Linked DNA regions of Arabidopsis thaliana. The protein of the gene in region 4 binds, or shares a complex with, the protein of the main gene of each other region. Each region holds a gene or a part of one and is shown on either strand. Other genes may lie near its edges. The genes, in order: AT2G28060, AKINBETA1, KIN11 and AT1G69800.

Region 1 (4,746 bases), on a different chromosome or scaffold from region 4:
CAAGAATAAAAGGTTTAGAGTGATAATGACAATATGAACTCTTGTGTTGAACATTGGGTTTTAGTTTGAAGTAATTATTTTTGTTTTTTTGAGAGAGTTTGGAATGATAATGTGAGGGATATATAAGTGGGAGGAGATATACACTGGTTTAGGGTTAAAGTTCATAAATGGGCTCGTGAGTGATGGCTGGAAACATAAGAGAGAAGAGTAAGTAGGAGAGGACAGAGGCAAAATGGCTGGAAAATGGTATTAATCAAAATACGATTTTATATGTGTGATAGAGATACAAAAAAGTGTTGATGGGGTCGGGAAGATCAGAAAGAGGTAGGAAAGTCCGTGAGTTTCAGAAATTACAATCAAAGATCAAACATTTGTCTTTGCATTTATGAATTATGACACACTCACACGCAATTTTCTATATTTTCAAACTATTGTTTCTCTTGTTTTAAAATGGTTTGGAGATTGGACATGGATTTTTAAATATATATATTATTATGTACACGGTTGCATGGGTTTTCGGGACTATTGGATTTTGCTTTCTTTTGGATAACAAAAACACGATAAATATTTCATTAAACCATACAAATCTTCGATTGATAAATACATATACGAAAACATACCTAAGGAAAAGGAATCCATTGTTGTAGGATTTAGGTACCATGCGGTTTTCCAAACCATAGAGTAATCTCATATGTATTGAAATTTAAAAAAAAAAAAATACAAAGAAGAACTAAAAAACAGAAAAAAAAAACTAAGAAAATAGGGAAATTAAGTTGGAGTCTCTTTAATTTGTTTTTTTTTTGTCATCTAGAGTTATTTTAATGTTACCATGATGAAATACTTGATAAAATACAACATTAAACCGAAAGAAAACGAGATTTTTTCGAAGTTTAAGCCCTAAGTAAAAAAGTCATAAATAATACTACAAAGCAAGAGGAAAAAAGCAATAGTAGTTGAAATCCCACCAAAACTATAAGTCGCATAGTTCTTGAAGATTATTTGAAAGAAAAGTATCGCGGATGCCCACCACCAACCAACGATACACAAGTCCTCCTATTGAGATGAACAACAACCTTCAGATTTCAGAATTTTTAAGCTTTATAACCTGATAACCACTGCCCAAACTTTCTTTCGTATGTGGTGATGTCATAAATCGACAAGAAACAATAAACATTAAGATTATGTGCCTTCATTGGATCATGGACTGAAAATTAAGCTCTTCGATCAACTAAAACAAATTTATCATCATTGTTTTCATACTCGCTGCTAAGTTTGCAGGGGAGTATTAGAGTCCACAACTAAAACAAGTCCAAACCCAATGTGAGGTCTACATAAGTAGAATTTTAACAAGTTAGAAGATTCATATAAACAATTATGTAATGAGAACTATGATTGTAACTTTGAGAGAACTCTCTTCCTTCATCTTATGAAATATCAAATCTAGAAACATTGGCTTTTGGTGACAAACCTTAAGCTCCTTTACATTTTTCTCTTCTTTACATTTCAATAAAGCTCACTAGAACTATTGCATTTCTATCTTTATATAATAAGCTCAATGAACATCAATCTATATTTGTCTTAAAAATGTCAAATAAATAGAAGTTTCATGAAAGGACCAGACCTCGATCAAGTCTGAGAAGCATAGACAAGGAGTGAAGATTTAGTCTCGATAACACCATTCTTAAGAGACGAAAAAAGGTAAAAGATCGAATCGCATAGAATCAAAGAAATCTTCACATATTCAGAGGAAAAACAGCATGTCTAGCGAACACTAGAGTCGAACAAAAGCAAACCACCAATCACACATCCTTATTTGTCAATTATTTATTTTGGAAACTAAAAAGAAAGTTAATGAGTAAAATAGTTTCCATAAGAAGAAAAAAAATGTTTTCTGAGGAAAGAAAATGTTTTCGAAGGACAGCAAAGTTTAAGCCAATAAGCAAAACAAAAGCTGATGCTTGTCGCGACTGTGTTCGTCAAGAATCTCCAGGACGAACCCAATCTTCTCTCTCGAAGCTGTCTAAAATTAATCAATCAATCATTGAGCTAATCATATTCTAGGTTAAGTAAAAACAGAGTAAACCCTCTCTTTTTTTCTCTTTCTCTGCCTTTCTCAATTTCGTTTCGTCTCCTTCGTTCTTCCAATTTCCGTCTGATTTTATACGAAATTTGCATTGATATCGAAGTAAAATCGAATACCCATGATTCAAAATTTCATTTTTTATGCGACTGATTCCTCAATTTTGATTTTCCGGTGATTTCTAGGGTTTTCTATTAGGTGGGTGTTATTTATCATTTGATGGGTCATTTACTGATGATTTTGCAGGTTTTTGTTTTAAGGATTTGTGTAGACTTTCATTGCTGCTACGTTTTTGAAAGGGTAATTTGAAGGGCTTAGCTTCCCAAAGGTGAGAATTTTAACTCCAGTTTGGCTTCTGATATTGTGTTCATTGTTATGTATTTTTAAGCTTAGTAGTTGTGTTTTAAAGTTGTTCCAGTTTGGTTGATAAGTGTGTATGTGTGTTCATCAGATTGGGTGAGTACAGTTCTTTCATTGATATCTCCAGTTGATTTGTGGGAATTTTGTTCTGTGTGTATAGGATTTAGACCTCAAATATTGGATTCTCTTTAAGCATTTAAGTGCCTGGTTTCTTCATCATCACTTGATAGGAGGACTTTACAAATTTTATTCTGAACATGGAATTTGGTTAGCCGAATAACTTCGTGGGGATTAGTTTCTCGTGCAAGGAAATTCTTCATGGTTCTGTCTTGGAAGTGTTTGGAATCTTGAAGCTTGATAGATTTTCGATGTAGGCATGATGCGGTTTTCTTATAGGTTTAAAGGGTCTTTAGCTGAGATATGGTTCCTATGGTGTGTAATAGGTTTAAAGGGTCTTTAGATGAGATAAAACTGTGCAAAGAGTTCATATAATAAATGGTTAAATCCTATATATTATCTGTTCAGTGTACATAGAGAAGAATTAGCTGTGGAATTTGGATGTACATGATAATAACAATGTAGTTTATGTCTTCCAACTTGTCTCTGTTGTGATAATGATCAATGTGTTTCTATTCTAACTCCTGTGGTCCATTGATTTTTGAATCCTTTGTCCACCTTAGTACTTTCTTCGAAGAAGGCATGGGAAAATATGATTCTCTGGTCCAACTTTCTTAAGACTGTCTGCATCTTTGGATCCTTAGATTTGTCTACGGGATTATGAATTATTTGACTTTTGATACCGATTAGACAAAAGTCTTACATTTCACACAAATAAGAGTTTGCATCATTGTAGAGAACAACATTGTTTTCATTTCTGCTTCAGTGTTTTTGAGTTGAAATGTAAACACCTCTTTCTCTTAGATTAGTTTGAATGGCACTTGAGCTGGTGTGACCTACATTCATTTTGATTGTTTACTTTGCATGCTATTGCGGTTTAGTTATGATTATATTTTGTTTCAGGCACTAGGTGGCAATCTTATCCAAGATGAACAGTCAAAATCCTGATGATCATGTAAGCCAGCTAAAACACCTTTTTGCCTTCAACCAACTAATCGAGTAATTTCCAGTCTCCCGCTCGATTTTTCAATCTTTTATCGTTTTCTTAAACATAGGAGGACACAACGGTTGTGGGATTTGAAGTACCTGTATCACCGGTTTCAAGTTACAACAATGTGTATTCCTCAACCGAAGATGAGACAAGAGATCCTCCAGCAGTACCGCCACACCTTCAACACTCTCTATTAGGCAATCAGGGTAGCATGGAACTGGCTTATGCGCCACAGAATGTTGTCCTGAACCACCTCTATATCGAGAACCGAGACGCCCCAAGATCTGTTGTAGCACTCGGTTTCTCGCATCGGTTCAGGACTAAGTTTGTCACTGTGGTGATATACAAGCCTGTCCAAAGAAGAGGGAGCGCCAATGTTTGAATAATGATACCTCTTTTTAAGTAGTGTTGGGAATTTGCTTCTTTATGGATTGAATTTGGTATACAAAACCATCTGGTCCGTACTGAATTTTATTCTTCTCTTACAGATTCGATTTAGACGGTTTCTAGGTACATTCGATTGAAATCATCTTCTTGTTCGGAGTTTATATAAAATCTCCATGCATTTTTATTTTTTAGGCCCAAAAAAGCTGATAGACGTGGGCATTGTTTGTTTGTAATAACTCCCTTAGATTGGGTTTAGTTAAACGAGCCCAAATATCGCTAATGAAGTTCTTTACTTGCTCATATGTAGTGTTACCATAAATTATTTAAATCTTTCGTAGCTCCAAAAAGGAAAAAAAAAAAAAAAAATCTTAATCAAAACTTTCTATGTCCGAGATAAGTTACCAAACTAATGCTCTAAAACTGGATTGGATCGTCGGATCAATGCATTAGTCTAAAACTGGATTGGATCGTCGGATCATTGCATTAGTTCGGTTTGAATGTAGATCACTTATACTCTCGTTGTTTTTAATTAAGTGTAGTTTTAAGGTTTTTTATTTTTTTTTAATATAAGTGTTGTTTTCACTTTTCTATGCAAACATTAAATGTATTTAATAATTTTTAATTAATTATATTTTTTTACTGGTTGGATTAGTTGTAATTAATGATGTTTTTATAGGAAAAAGATAAATTAAATAAAATTTGTATGTTTTCTTAATTTGTGTGCAAAAACTTTAAACTACAAATATTCAGTAACAGAGGGAGTATATAAAAACAAAGTTGGTTTGTGCATGGGAGCTTATTTGCACAAAAT
Region 2 (5,083 bases), on a different chromosome or scaffold from region 4:
AGAACGAGGATTGAAGGATCAGATGGAGAAGACGCAATGTGAGGAAGAGAGGTTGAAGAAGGAGGCAAGTGTGTGTGTGTGTTTTGGTGGCGACACTCTTTAAGGGAGGAATAAGCGAGGATGAAACAAACAGTGAAACGTATAACCCCAAAAACCCTAGTTACTTTCCTCTTTTTTTATATGTATATGTTTATTTTATATAGCAATTTCCTATTTTTCCTATTTGAAATTTGACAAAAAATAAGAATAATATTCATGATTTGTTTAATTACTAGTATTACAAATATCCTCTAATCTGGTCTTTATCCTTCGTAATTAAAAACATTCAATTTATTTCTTTTTAATTTTTGTTTTGAGAAAACATCATTTATGTAGGGTTTTAAAAAAATTTAAATTAACTTTATAAACTTATTTTCGTTAGACCTATTTATAACGCGTTTATTTATTAACCTTAGTTTATGTCCTTAAATAGATGTGTTAGAATTTGTGTAGCAATTCTAAGTTATTTTGTACTTTTAATGTGATCTAACAAACTTTTGTTACAACTAAGGATTAGTAGTTGGTAAAAGAGAACGAAGATAACTAGTTATCGCTCTTATAATCTCTTTATTGTTTTATTGTTTAATTCGTTTAAGTTATTTAATTATAATATTTAGTCTTTTAAAAATACGTGAAAAATTATCTGAATTGTTAATATACATATAATAATTTTTATATATATGATGGATATTAACGATGATTTCTGAGGTGAAAACTATTATCTTAATTTTTTTTTTGGGTGAGGCTATTATCTTAATTCTTCAATATGTGAACCTACGAAGAATAAAGTAATTGATGAAGATTTGAATGAATTTTTGTCTCTGAAAATGACATTTGAAGGTGTCTGTGGAAGATTTAGTGTCCACTAGATAAGATTTCTAAACAAAAGGTCAATATATTGATGAAAATTGAAGTGATTGAAATCAAGTTTTTCCAATGATAGTACACTCGTTTGAAGAAAATATGAGGTTGAATCAAAACCTTAGTTCAAAGTAAATGATAAAGCAAAAGCTGAAATCTTACAATTTGAAAGTGACCAATATACAATGCGAGAAAGCAAAAGAAAAAACAATGACTCAACCTATAAGGAAAGTGCATGACAATCACTCATGGCTTAGTGAATAGTGACCATCGCCTTTTACAAGTTTACATTGGCTTTGAAACCCTCCAAACTTTTCGAAACAATCTTTCGACCAATAACTAGTTTACGGGACTAACCAATACAAATCTTGGAAAATGATGATTCTTTGACCATCTCTATTCTAACCCCACCTATTGGAGTTTAAGGCCTTTTCATCGTCACGATACGCATACTATGATCACTGGCTCTAGCAAGATGTTAAGGCACACAAATCGGTGGCAAGGAGGTGACTGGCCCTTGTGTCATTATCCTTCTCAAAGGCATTGAACCAACTTTTTATTCACATTTGTTTATTATATACTAAAAGAAATAAACAAAAAAAAAGTGGATAATTATAAACTTTTGGACGCCAAGTCACTCGTTTATCCATTTGGTACGGATTTTAATGATATCTCTCTCTCAAGAGCCCCTTTTATGCAAAATCTCTTTTTCGCTACCAATGGCATTATTCGTAATTAACTTCTAACTTGAGGGGCGTTTCATTATCTCCTCCTCGTCGTCCTCCCTCCATTTTTCTTCACGTCTGGTTTTCTCTCTCTTTTCCTCTATCTCTCTCCTCTCTTTGTCTCTCTCGCTTCTGTGATTTGGGCTTTTTCAGATGGGAAATGCGAACGGCAAAGACGAAGACGCCGCCGCCGGTAGCGGTGGTGCAGATGTTACCTCGTCCTCGGCGAGATCTAATGGCGGCGATCCTTCTGCACGCAGTCGTCACCGTCGTCCTTCTTCAGACTCTATGAGCAGTTCTCCTCCCGGAAGTCCTGCTCGATCTCCATCTCCTTTCTTATTCGCTCCTCAGGTTCCCTCTCTCGAATATCTCTCTCTGTTTAATCGTTGAATTTGATTTCTGGTTTTGAATTGAATCGATTGAAACATTCGCCCAAAGAGATAATAGTAAGAGAATCTTTTTGATTTGTTTCGTTGAGTAAGAGAATGTTCGTTCACTTGACTTTTCATTTGTTTCACTAATTGTGAGACACTTTCTTCATTTAGATAGGATCCAAGTACAAAATCTCCAGCCTTTTTTTTATGAGTGAACTCTACTTGTTCACTTGATTTGTGTTATCCTGTTGGTTCTTGAGAATTTGTAATGTAGATTCTTGTTCTTAAAGCTTTTTTCTGAGTTGGGTTTAGAGATTCTGTACTAGAGAATCTCTTTTATTTTTGTGTTATCTTGGTTCAGGTATCTTGAAATAATGCATAATGTGGAAAAGTTTCTACCTTTCTTTAAGATGTTGTTTTGGTTTCCTAGCTATTTTTTCTTTATTTTCCAGCCGGTCTCTAGTCATTTACTGGTCGCTCATGATTCTTGATGTCCCTTAGTGAGTCTTTGTGTAATTTATCTTTGTTTCATTGTGAAGAGGGCAACTTTGCAGACTAAGTACGTTTGTGAATGAAATCTTTTGTATAAAGGAATTAGACTTGACTTGGTTTTGTTTGGTTCTTGAGAAGTCAAAAACTCTGGTAAATGACAAGGTAGCTAGTTACTCTTCCTTAGTTTTGGTGGAGAGAGAGAGAGAGGCTTAGATCACCTTATTGCTATGTCTTTTCCTTTTGGTGAGTTAAAATCTTGTTAATCATACTAGAGAATCTGCTTTAGAGAAGGTCTTATTTGTCTTCTGATTATGCCTCCATGCCTGGTGTGGAAAAGCGTATGGCAGTCAAATAGGATGATTATTGTCTCTCTAGGTTTTTATGCTGATTTTGACTTTCCTGCTGCTCTCTGGTCATTTACCAGTTACTGATACTGTTCTGTTGATTTGCATGTCGCATTGTGAGTCTTTTGTGTAATGTCTTTTGCTTTCATTTTTAAGAGGAGGGAGGGCAAGCTTGTTCTTTTCTTCGCCCTTTTTGAATTTAAACACGCAGAGCTTTTACTTGAACGAATTACAGATTTTGGATGTTTCGTCATTCTTCTCATTGTTCTTAATATGTGAATAATTCATAAGATAAGTGAAGGACAACCTTCTAAAATTGACCTTGTTATCAGGTTTTTGTGGGAATAGTGAAATATCTTTTGCTAATAAGGTCTTGTCTGTACTCTGTATGCGAGTAAATTTCTGAGTCTACTGTTGCTATATTCATTTTCGACTCCTTTTCTTTTCAGCCCACATTGTTATTCCACGTTACATCTTACAACATTTGCTCACCTATGCGTCACCTCTTCCATTGTTTAGGCTTAACATGTGTACCTAATGGCTGCATTTCGTGTCGGATGGTAGATATAATGTTTTGACATTCGCAAATTCTTCTTGCACATTGGTTTGTAAGATCTCACGGCTCAGTGTTTATGTGGATATTCTCAGGTTCCCGTGGCTCCATTGCAGAGAGCAAACGCCCCTCCTCCTAATAACATCCAATGGAACCAATCACAGAGAGTTTTTGATAATCCCCCAGAGCAAGGAATCCCTACCATCATTACATGGAACCAAGGAGGTAATGATGTGGCGGTGGAAGGATCATGGGACAATTGGAGATCAAGGTATAATTGACTTTGTTTCTCGTGGACCCTCTCTCGAGATTTCGTGATATATGTTAAAAACAATATGTTTACATTCACCAGGAAGAAGCTGCAGAAATCAGGGAAAGACCACTCGATTCTCTTTGTCCTTCCATCTGGCATATACCACTACAAGGTGATTGTGGACGGTGAATCCAAATACATCCCAGATTTACCCTTTGTAGCAGACGAAGTTGGCAATGTCTGTAACATTCTCGATGTTCATGTAAGTTACTTTCCCACCTCTTTTTTTCTCATGTTAAATCTATCAATCAGCTTAACAGTATCTGCAATCATTATGCATGCAGAACTTTGTGCCAGAAAACCCAGAAAGCATAGTGGAGTTTGAGGCGCCACCATCACCTGATCATAGCTACGGTCAAACCCTACCAGCCGCAGAAGATTACGCGAAAGAGCCACTGGCGGTGCCACCTCAGCTTCATCTAACACTTCTTGGCACTACTGAAGAGACAGCCATAGCCACAAAGCCTCAACATGTGGTGCTTAACCATGTGTTCATAGAGCAAGGATGGACTCCTCAATCCATAGTAGCTTTGGGTTTAACCCACAGGTTCGAGTCTAAGTACATAACTGTTGTCCTCTACAAACCGCTCACACGGTAACCCTAAAAATTCAGTGCCACATTGTTCTCTCTCTTTCTTTCTTTTTCATCTCTCAATTATGTGAAAACATGTTCTTTGTTCATAGTGACTAGTGAGTGCCCAACATTTGAGTTTATTAACCTCTTTCTTACCTGGTTTGTGGTGCTTGTGTACAAAGCTTCTCTCATTGTAACGATTGTTGTTTTATTTTCTGCAAAAACTGTAAAATACATTCGCTAATAATGGCTATAACAAGCTTATCTGCTAGCAACCAAACACATAAATCCTGTTTTTTTTCTTCTTCTGACAAAACGTTTGCGAAAGTGACAAATTTTTGAAAATAATCTTTCTTTTTGGTATTGGAAAAGGCTAACCAGTTTGAAAGTGTACTCATAATAAATCCACGTCGTCTATTTGATTGAAAATTTTAATTTGGATAAGAAAAAGATAAAAGAGAAATAAGGTGAGAAAAAGTGAGCCACACGATGGAGTATGGCGGAAGAAGCATCGACCGAGTAATTGAGACGCTCTGTTTCCAATTACTACTCTCTCGAGCTCCTCCGCTCTGCATTGTCGCCGAGAGTTCCTTTCTTGTCCGACAAACTACTTCTTCTCCTTCGATAAGCCAATTCTGCGCCATAGATTTTTGAAATCTACTGCCGGAAAGGCTGCATGCGATTTCAACTCCCTTTTCCCGGGACAATTCGCAGGTGTGTATTCCTGAAGCTCCGTTGTACTATACTACTATTCCATGTTTCACTTCGAACGAAGAATCAATCATTCGGTAAATTGGATAATTTGGTC
Region 3 (5,938 bases), on a different chromosome or scaffold from region 4:
AGGACATTATTCCAGAAAGGAAACATTCAATTGCATTGAGTGTGACTACTTTTCTTTGTGTTTCAAATGTGCTACATTACCTCATAAGGTAATGTATAAGCATGATAAACATATGTTCACTCTTTCTTATGGGGATGAGATAAGTACAACGATGTATTGGTGTGAAGTTTGCGGTCCGAACCGACTGATGATGAAAAATCAGCAAAATAAATCCGAAGGAGCGGTTTTATGTGTGATGAGTACTGTAGTGTTACCCTACACATTCAATGTATGTTTGGGGTGGACTTATCCTTGAAGCCCGATATATTATTGTCCGACGGCGACCTATTTACTCCTTTTGCAAGAAGCATTGTCCACACAAAGTAGCTCTCCAATGTTCTGTATTAATATCGTGTTCCACATCTTGTATTGATGCTAAGGACTTAAGTTGGGTAGCCGAATTTTGTGAAATGGAATTTTGATGGACTCTGCGTGCAATGTTTTTAGGTATGACATGTATAATGTGTCTGATATAAACGTTGTATAAAATTGGCATCAGAGGAGAAATACAATAGTTAGAATGAAACAGCTAAGTTATGTACACATGATCAAACCTTAAAAACCATCAAAAAGAAGAAAGGATAGTTACTATTACAGTAGAGTTTAACTTAGAATCCAGGTATATAAAAGTAACCCGGCAAAGTAAACACTGCACCCACATATTATATTATGTTCTCTACTATTACAAACCATTGAACATGAAAGAAAAAAAATGTCTCAACAAATGGTTAAAACATTCAGATCACACGAAGCTCTGTAAGAAAGGCGGCGCATAGATCCAAGAAGAGAAACTGCGGACCGTTAACTCTCTGTATATCCAGCAAGTACTTCTCTTCCCGGGCTTTGTATAGCTGTTTCAAAATCAAAAGTGAACTCAGAAAGTGTATAATTGTTCTTCGAAAACAGTTGGTTCAAGTTCTAAAGAAGGTTTTAGTCTATGTCCTAGCTGGTTTAGTTTTGTTGAACTACTACTAGTGGGATAAAACAACATCAGGATCTTAGTCTTTGCTCCAGCACAATTCTACGAATGTAAACCCCGTTGATCGATTCATATCCCTAACAAACCGAACTAGGCAGTTGTTTATTTTCTCCAAGGAATGTTGTTGATACAAATGTATGTGTGAGTTTATAGTTACCTGAAGTTCAAATTTGATGACAGTGGGTGAAGTCATGGCACAGTCATCCTCAATGATGCTGGATTCATCTCTGAAGTGCAGCTGATTGTTGACCATAGTATTCTGACCATCAGCTAAACCAGGAACCCATCGACATTTCATGTTGTAGTGACCAATCTTCTTCCAACACACATTGAGTTCTTGAAGAGCTTTCAAAACTTCATTCATGATTTCACGAGGATGCGCATGAGACTGTTCAAAACAACAAGGTAACAGAATGATTATCGATTTGGCTATGTAGAGGCAAAGAGTACAGATATCTGATTGTGTGTTGCATTCAGAAGACTTTATGGTGAGGAACAAAAAGAATCAGTAATCAGGAACAAACCTGAAGTCCAAGAGCCCATTTTCGATCAACAGGGACTTGTGATCTTGCTCCCAACCCGTAGTGATCCACATGTGCAGGAATCCAGTGGCCTACAGGTGAAGCGCCCGCTTCAGGTGTGCGCATAGGATTGGAACCACTGTCCTAGATGAGTAACGTTGAAAAGGTGAACATGTTAGTCAAAAATGTTGGAAAGCTATCTACTGAGAGGAAAGAAAAACACATACTGTTGTCTCCTGAAACTCGGATTCTAGATAGCCACTTGGAACACGGAACCGGTTATCCAATAACAGGTAGTATGTAACAGTAGCCTGGTACAAGGAGCAAATGGCATTTCAGTGACTATTGGAAACTAGTTTCGGGGATTAAAAGCATTAGAGACAGGAAACTACATACATCGTTTTGTGTTCTGTTGCGTAGAGATTCCAAAACCTGGTTTCTATCAAATCCCATGTTAACCACTTCTTGAACTATCTCCTCATTGATCTGCAAAACATAAGAGATATTGTTACTATCACAGCAAGTGAACTCTATTAATCTCCAAATGGCACTGAAACCAACCTTTTTAGCCTGCTCTACTGTATCCGGTGGAGAGACAGCAAGATAACGAGGGAGATGAGTCTGGAACCAACGGTGTTGACGGATCTCAGGAATGGTGATTCGTTTCACCGGGTCAACTATAAGCATCCTTGGGATCAGGTCTCTAGCCTCAGATGATAAATGACTTGGAAGAGTGTAAATCCCACCCTAAAGAGAAAAAAAACACCTTGATAAGTTACTTCACATACATATGAATCCATTTAAGAAGAGTCTTTTAGCTGAATCAAAGTATAACGTACAGTACCTTAATTTTCTTGAAAAGGTTGGGAATGTTTTCATCATCAAAAGGAAGAGTACCGCATAATAGAGCGTACAATATAACTCCGCAACTCCATACATCTACTTCAGGTCCAGCATATAATTTACCTGATATAACCTACAACAAGAAGTAAGAGATAAGACACTCATAAGAGAAACGAGACATAGTCACATAGGTGAAAAACAATTCAGTAACTTTACTAAACTATATACCTCGGGAGCAGCGTAGTTGGGGCTTCCACAACTCGTCTTTAGAAAATGACCATCCCGCATAACATTACTCAACCCAAAGTCTGCAATCTTAATATTACACCTCGAATCCAATAGTAAATTCTCAGGCTTCAGGTCTCTATGGACAACCATATTACGATGGCAGTACTCTACACCAGATATTATCTATTCGGATATGAGTCAAACACAAACAACACTCAAACTCAAAGATGACATGATACGCTACAAACACACTGGTTATGGTAAAGAGAAAACAAACCTGCTGGAAAAAGTTACGAGCCTCATCTTCTTGTAATCTGCCTTTCTCAACAATATAATCAAAGAGCTCTCCAGACTTGACATACTCCATCACAACATAAATGTCACTCGTGGTCTCTATTACCTCATACTGCCGAATAATATGAGGATGCATAAACAACCGTAGAATCTTAATCTCCCTCCTCACTGTAAAGAAGAAATATACATACATTAAGATAAAAATACATACTAAAACCTAATAAGCAGAAACATTTGATTATCAAAGCTTTTGTTCTAGAAACCACTAAAGCTAAAAGTAACGGTGCTTGTATATACCTTTCTCTTCCATCTCCATGTTCTTGATCTTACGACGATTAAGGATTTTGATAGCAACCTTATGCCCTGTGACAACATGCTCTGCTATTTTCACCTTCCCAAAAGACCCAATTCCAAGAGTTTTACCAAGCTTGTAATTCGGTAAAATCGATTCCACTCCATTATTGCCAAATCTATTTGATGAATGATCCATTTCCTGTGTCCCAATTCAACATCAAACTCATAAGTAAGCTCTCTTAGCAACTTCTCTATAGAAAAACATCAGTAAACATATTAACTTGCTCAAATAAAAAAAAACATTCTTCAACTCAATTTTCATTTCATCAAATCTAATCTAAACCAACCATAAGCTTGTAAGAAAACTGACAAGAACCACCGACATAACTACTTTGTAATGGTGGTTTTGGTCTGAAACCAAACAAGAGACTCACAAGTTTGAGTTTAGAAGACAAAATTGATAAACCTTTACAAAGAAAAAAAAGTCAATTTACCTGAAAAGCTTGTTAATTTCGAAAACCGTCTTGGAGTAGATCCGAGAATCAAAAACCCAGATAAATTGTTCAAACAAAGAGCGAAGAAATATACAGAAACAAGGAGAATCAGATTGATGGGTATAAATAGGGCAGAATTGTAAATTACGATGTAATCTGAAGAAATTCTTGGGGAAGTCAGATTTCCAACTCGTAGGTGACGCAGAGCTGAGTCAGGTTTTTTTAAGTCTTCATGGTGAAAATTGGTAATGACGAATCAAGAAACCACAAAACCCAGATAAACATTTATTGCCATTTGCAAGCCCTTAAATTAGGGCCTTTTTGCCCATTTTCTGTTTTTGTTTGAAAAACTAGTTTTTTAAGGTTTAAAATTTTTATATTACTGTTTTTATGATCTATATATACATTTTTGCAGCCACTTTGTGAAATAAATCCTAGAGTTGGAGTTTATTTACAGTGGCTGCCACTCGCATTTAATAATTGTTTTTGATAATTAGAAAGAAAATCTTTAAATTAAATATTTGACAATCTTCCCAAAATCTTTCCACATTAACTACACGATTAGTTACTAAAATAAAACTTCCGAAATATTTAATATCATTTAATTACTACAAAATTATCATTTTTGATATTGTTTTTCTACATGACTATAATAATTCGATTATAATCATCAAACCGCAGAGATATTAGATAGCATTTAATTACTACAAAATTAAAAAATATTTAGACAATGATTCATAAACATATCATAAATAAAATCAGTGAATTTTTTTTACGGGACGGATTGGCGGGACGGGTTTGACAGGACGTTACTTAATAACAATCGTAAACTATAAAATAAAAATATTTTATAGATAAATATAATTTGCAAATTTTTATATATAGTAACTTTAAAAAATAAATTGTCTCCGCGGTATACCGCGGGTTAAAATCTAGTTTTCTATATATAAAAGCGTGCTAATGATAAAGCGGATAAATTAAGAAGTTTCAGACGCATTTTATTATATAAAGTAGAGTTTTTAAAGTTAATAACTCAACTGATCGTGACACGTAACAAGTCAATCGTTCATATGTTGATATTGTGTCGGATTTTTTTTTACTTTTTTCCTAAAAGAAATAGGCAATTTAACAAAAACAAATATTTACATATACTAATTTATATGTCTATATCTAAAAAAAATAAGTTATAGTTTACTTAACTAAGAAGGGAAACTAACAATAAGATGGAGTGTATAGAATTAAATTGTATTTGTATTGCAAAATCGAATTGTATTTGAAATGTATACAATCAAATTTAATTGTATTTGTATTATAATAAAATAGATATTTAAATTGTATTGCATAATCGAGATTTTTTAAATATTTTTTCTAAAAGAAATAGGAAATTTAACCAATAAAAATACATACACCAATTTATATTTCTATATCTAAAAAATTTAACTTAAAATTTTCTTAACTAAGAAGGAAAACTAACACAATAAGATGGAGTGTATAGAATAAAATTATATTTGTATTGCAAAATCAAATTGTATATGAATTGTATGGAATCGAATTAAATTGTATTTTTATATAATAAAATAGATATTTAAATTGTATTGCAAAATCGAGATTTTTTAAATATTTTTTCTAAAAGAAATAGGAAATTTAACAAAAACAAATACATATACCAATTTATATTTCTATATCGAAAAATTTAACTTAAAATTTTCTTAACTAAGAAGGAAAACTAACACAATAAGATGGAGTGTATAGAATAAAATTGTATTTGTATTGCAAAATCAAATTGTATATGAATTGTATGGAATCGAATTAAATTGTATTTTTATATAATAAAATAGATATTTAAATTGTATTGCAAAATTGAATATGTAAGATTGAAATTTGGTTTAAGGAAATACTAAATTAAATACTGAAAAGTATATGAATTATTATTTAAAATTTAAATATCATCAATAAGATGGATGTAGTCTATAGAATTAAAACAGTTTATTAAGATAAAATAGATAGTTCAAATGTAGAATAATTGCTGAGAATGCCCTTTTCACACTACCTTTTTCAGTTATACCCTTTCATATTTGACATTTTCATTTCTACTTTCAGTAAATTTTTAATGACTATTTTACCCTTATTTGGAAATTGTTTTTTGCCTAAAATATTCCAAATAAATTTCCTGCCAATAAAATACCATAGTTTTTGTTTTTGAGCATTTTTTTTAATACACCTTTTACACAGAATTCATTGTATAT
Region 4 (4,327 bases):
TATGGTCCCTCCTTTAAAAACAATTCCATTGGCAAGTATCTATAGACTATAAATATGCAGTTTGGGTTGTCGCTAAGGTCAGTTGAGTAAGAGAAGAAGCATTTGCAAAAGAGACATAACATGTAAAGTCAAATGTCCCCTTGAGTTCCCTTAAACGCTTCATTGTTCATACTTTGTTATCATCTATCGATCGATCAATCAATCTGATGAACACTGAAGTGTTTGGGGGGACTCTAGGTGACATCTTGGCACCCACAGGCTATATTAATTATCGAGCGGTGTAGTCAACGGTTGAGGTGAGTTATGAGCCTTTTCATGAAGAAGATAAGTAATGTGGTTGGTTATTGATCTATCATTCATGAGTGAGTCATTTCATTTGTTAGTTATACAATTTGTTTCAAGCTGATTAAACTCTTAGTTTGGCTTCCCTGTAAGTTGAACTTAATCAGCTGCATTGAATTGGCGAGACTTACACAAACACAAATATGAAATTGAACAATCCATAAAACAGAAAATTTTTTATCCAATCATTACAGTACATATATATTTTCAATCCTAAGATGTCGTTAATGATAGAACTTTAAAACTCAAAATGGTTGGTTACAAATTAGATATAAAGACAACAACTTCAGAAATCTAAACCAAGAAAGAACAAACAACAAAGCCAAAAAAAAGCTGAGAAACAAGAGATCATCGGTTAAGCATTTCCTTAACCGAGAAACCGAGACAGTTCTCAAAGTAATTTGGAGGTTCTGATACGAAACAAGAGATCACATCCCTCAGTGTTATAACCCCATAAAGCTCATTCTCATCTCCAGCCGCTACATAAACCCGATGCACCGACCTCGAAGCCAAACTGTTTATAACACTCCCTAAAGTCGAATCAGGCCTACAAGTTATTGCAGGAATCGCTAAACCGTATTCCTCTCCCGCTGTAGCAATCTTTGTCGCGAAACTCTTCACCGTGAGTTGTCTTTATCATCAACAAAGAGATCATTCAGTCATCATTGTTACCAGAGAAGTTGTAATGAGAAACAAGTGAGTAAAAATAAACCTGAAATTGGAAAAGACTTCAGGTTGTAAAAGCAAATATCTAATGTCTCTCATGCTAATGTTACCAACAATCTTCTTATTCAACCCTTCAACTACAGGGAGACCACCAATGTTGTTGTCTCTCATCCTTTTAAATGCTTCAAGGATAAGTTCCTCACTCTCAATGCTAATAACCTGAAACCAACATGTTCAATTTCACCGGTTTACGAGCCTAATGTCATGACTTCTTAAAGTTTATTTTATTACCTCATTGGGTGACATAAACGGGAGGCCGAGATCAGAAATCGGGAGAGCGGAAATGTGATCAAACCAATCTCTACCTTTGCAACCTTCAAGACCATGAACAACTGCAGATTGAGTAACGTAGTTCTTGATATCCGGTTCTCCTGTTTTAATAACCGGCACATTTCTTAACCGATATTTCGAGAGTAACAACATAACACTCAACATCGAACTCTCTGTTGAAACCGGAAGAAAAGGAGCCCATCTAAACGACTTAAGTATTGTTCTAACCTGACAACATAAACATATATCCATGATCAATCAGGACCATCACAACACAAATAACTTAATGTTCTGTTAAAAAACTTACAGTGGTTGATTTAAAAGGCTCTTCTTGAAGAATAACTTCATAGAAATCTTTCCCCAACTTATCAGCAGCAGTTGGAGCATCTTTTCCAATCCCACGTTCAGCTGCAACACCACCAGCAACCGCGGCTCCAACCGCAGCTGCGGCTAGCCCCGCAGCAGCAACCGGACCGGTCATCCCGAGCGCTGCAACACCAAGAGCTCCAACAGCTCCAGCACCAACACCAGCAGCAGTTGCTGACGTAGCGGACAACGCGATTGCAGCGAGTTCAGCACTCTCTAGCACCCATAAGATGATTGAAGAGTAGTCAATGATTCCTAAATATCTTTCTCTCCAATCTAAAGAACTCTCGTGATCTGTGTTAATCACAGGAGCTGATAGAATCTTGCTATCTGATAAGATCTTTACTGCTTCTGATACAGGTGTTTCCGCTTGAATCTCTATCACTACGATCAAACAAAACACTAATTGAATCTAAACCATTGCCAAGTCTCAAACTTTAAACGAGAAATCAGGAAATTTGGAGGAATCGAAAAAAATGGGATCTTTCTAATTTTTACCTCTGCCGCCGGGGACTTGAGGGAAGGAGGAGACTGGGATTCCGGCGAAAGCAGAGTTTAGGGTTTCTTGAAGAGATTTGGGTAGATTCTTCCTTGATTGTACTTTCTCGAAATACGCTTCACAGCTTGAAACCGCCGATTTTATCTCCTTATCTTCTACCGCTTCACTTCCCGCCATGTCTTGATACCGGCTCAATTTGAAGAATTTCAAACAAATCTACGATGATTTTAGATTGGAAACGATGAAACCCAGAAGAAAAAAAGAGAGCTTTTTTGGTTAAGGAAAAAAAAAAGAGAGAATTTAGAACAGTGGTGAGTGTGGTCGGATAAGCAACGTGTCGGAGATGGACCTTTGGTTTCGCTTTTCTGGCGGTTACGCGCGTCCTGATGAAGTGCATTGACACGTGACGTTATAATAAGTGGTCGTGTGTCAAAAGAGTTTAACAGCGTTATAACCGGAGTCGCTGACGTGGATGGGCCGAATTCTAAGATAGAAAACGGTAGTAACGGGCCTGAGCCCAAGATTGATTTAAAAGTAATATCTGATGGATCATAGTTTCATACGTTTTCTTTCTTTTGGTCATTTTGTTTTCTTTCCTTTTTAAGAATCGACCATCTAAACATTTAGGTGGCTCAAACAATTCAGACATCTTCATTTCGGTCAAATTCATCACAAATTTATATTTGATAATTGAGGGAAGTAAAATAATCAATTCTTTTATGTAAATAATTTTAATGGTGACTACAATTTTGACCATCAAATTAGTAAATGTCTGTAGCAAAAAATAATAATAATCAAATTAGTAAACAATACGTATGTGATTTCAAATAATAATACGTTGTGTTGATAATTTGTCAAATAACCCACTATTTTATGTGATGCTAACTAAAGTTTATTTTGTAAAAATCAAACAATTTTGCAAAAGTGAAAGAGGGAGATTTTGTCAATCTGCATGAAAACCACCTTCCATTTTAGATATCATTGTGTCATCATAGTCATACTTACTTAATTCACCAACAAAAAAAATTAACATTGTATTTAAAATTTTTATAAGCATAAAAAAATATTTGGTGTATCAAATTTGTGTAGACCATTAATTTACAAAACCTTCATATACATATATAATCCATGATATGATAGGTAATCCACTAATTTAAACATTTGGATATCTACAAGTATATAAGCATTTTGCATATCATGCCAAAACCAGATCTCTCTTTCAGAGGCTGAAAAACAAATGAATGACAAAGAAAACGGAAATCAGTTACTTTCTAGACTTGTGTCTAGCTATACCGATACAGTTACTGGCTTATTGCTGTCCGGAAAGTCTCGTTCGATAACGGGCCAATAATGAATCTGTACTCAACGGAGCTTGTGTTCGCAAGCCACTAAAGTTCAAGGTGTGGTCATGCGATGATGGAGGTGGAGGATCTGGAGAGGAAAAGTTGAGACTGAAAGAGGAGGACGATAGAGGGTAGTCGTCTGGTAACTGATTGGGATAGTTTGGTCGTGTGAGGTCCAATGTTACAGTCGGGTGCGAGTTAGTGGTGGAGATAGAGAAGTGGTGAAAAGGGAAGAAATAGCTTAGACTCGCTGAGGTGGAGGAGGAGGAAGAGGAGGAGCCAGATTGTAATAAGGAGGCAGCCGCGGAAGTTCCAGCTGCCATGTGGCTTGCTTCCATGGGGAGAGGATGGTCATGGTTTCCTTCGTACGTTGTCATAAAAGCGGAGGTTTCTTCTTCTCCACATCTTTGCACCTATAGACATTCGTTTTAAAAGTTTTTACTCAAAACCAATTGTTAATAAACAGATATTTGGATTGAGAAATTATAGAATGTATTATACCTGTTTTCTAACGGGACAATTTGACGACATGGAGCAACGGTAATAGGCTCGTGGGAGAGGATTGGTTTTCGCAGTCTTTTGACCATATTTCCTCCACTGGCAACCGTCGTTTATCTATATATATTCATGTAACGTGTATATGATCAAATAATTAAATTAGATGTGAAATGGTAAATAAACACATATATGTAATGTATGGTTTTGATGGTACGTACTGATGGGTCTTCACATGATGCTTTAACACAAACCCTAGTTTTCTTCAAACCTGTTTGTTCATGCT

Evidence for each region.
Region 1: AT1G69800 (region 4) and AT2G28060 share a complex: the UniProt entries of both Arabidopsis thaliana proteins name them as parts of the probable heterotrimeric complex.
Region 2: AT1G69800 (region 4) and AKINBETA1 share a complex: the UniProt entries of both Arabidopsis thaliana proteins name them as parts of the probable heterotrimeric complex.
Region 3: AT1G69800 (region 4) and KIN11 share a complex: the UniProt entries of both Arabidopsis thaliana proteins name them as parts of the probable heterotrimeric complex.

What each region holds. Positions count from the first base shown.
Region 1 is NC_003071.7:11,949,358-11,954,103, reverse strand, and holds AT2G28060 (5'-AMP-activated protein kinase beta-2 subunit protein), read left to right. Parts: upstream 1-1,850; 5' UTR 1,851-2,061; exon of another isoform or gene 2,062-2,326; 5' UTR 2,327-2,408; intron 2,409-3,460; 5' UTR 3,461-3,485; coding exon 3,486-3,512; intron 3,513-3,612; coding exon 3,613-3,930; 3' UTR 3,931-4,233; downstream 4,234-4,746. UniProt on the Arabidopsis thaliana protein: Regulatory subunit of the probable trimeric SNF1-related protein kinase (SnRK) complex, which may play a role in a signal transduction cascade regulating gene expression and carbohydrate metabolism in higher plants.
Region 2 is NC_003076.8:7,203,940-7,209,022, forward strand, and holds AKINBETA1 (5'-AMP-activated protein kinase beta-2 subunit protein), read left to right. Parts: upstream 1-1,727; 5' UTR 1,728-1,778; coding exon 1,779-1,976; intron 1,977-3,226; exon of another isoform or gene 3,227-3,284; coding exon 3,285-3,395; intron 3,396-3,483; coding exon 3,484-3,659; intron 3,660-3,740; coding exon 3,741-3,903; intron 3,904-3,985; coding exon 3,986-4,300; 3' UTR 4,301-4,557; downstream 4,558-5,083. UniProt on the Arabidopsis thaliana protein: Regulatory subunit of the probable trimeric SNF1-related protein kinase (SnRK) complex, which may play a role in a signal transduction cascade regulating gene expression and carbohydrate metabolism in higher plants.
Region 3 is NC_003074.8:11,128,117-11,134,054, forward strand, and holds KIN11 (SNF1 kinase homolog 11), read right to left. Parts: upstream 3,990-5,938; 5' UTR 3,841-3,989; exon of another isoform or gene 3,693-3,840; intron 3,398-3,692; 5' UTR 3,395-3,397; coding exon 3,202-3,394; intron 3,073-3,201; coding exon 2,888-3,072; intron 2,794-2,887; coding exon 2,611-2,793; intron 2,516-2,610; coding exon 2,384-2,515; intron 2,287-2,383; coding exon 2,101-2,286; intron 2,026-2,100; coding exon 1,936-2,025; intron 1,851-1,935; coding exon 1,767-1,850; intron 1,684-1,766; coding exon 1,543-1,683; intron 1,407-1,542; coding exon 1,176-1,406; intron 891-1,175; coding exon 777-890; 3' UTR 504-776; downstream 1-503. UniProt on the Arabidopsis thaliana protein: Catalytic subunit of the probable trimeric SNF1-related protein kinase (SnRK) complex, a central regulator of cellular energy homeostasis, which, in response to seemingly unrelated darkness, sugar and stress conditions, activates energy-producing pathways and inhibits energy-consuming processes.
Region 4 is NC_003070.9:26,273,726-26,278,052, forward strand, and holds AT1G69800 (Cystathionine beta-synthase (CBS) protein), read right to left. Parts: upstream 2,605-4,327; 5' UTR 2,601-2,604; coding exon 2,553-2,600; exon of another isoform or gene 2,420-2,552; coding exon 2,203-2,419; intron 2,089-2,202; coding exon 1,646-2,088; intron 1,567-1,645; coding exon 1,300-1,566; intron 1,228-1,299; coding exon 1,055-1,227; coding exon of another isoform or gene 994-1,054; exon of another isoform or gene 974-993; coding exon 691-973; 3' UTR 505-690; downstream 1-504. Other genes in the region: WRKY36 (WRKY DNA-binding protein 36), read right to left, coding at 3,513-3,959, 4,048-4,161, 4,263-4,327. UniProt on the Arabidopsis thaliana protein: Regulatory subunit of the probable trimeric SNF1-related protein kinase (SnRK) complex, which may play a role in a signal transduction cascade regulating gene expression and carbohydrate metabolism in higher plants.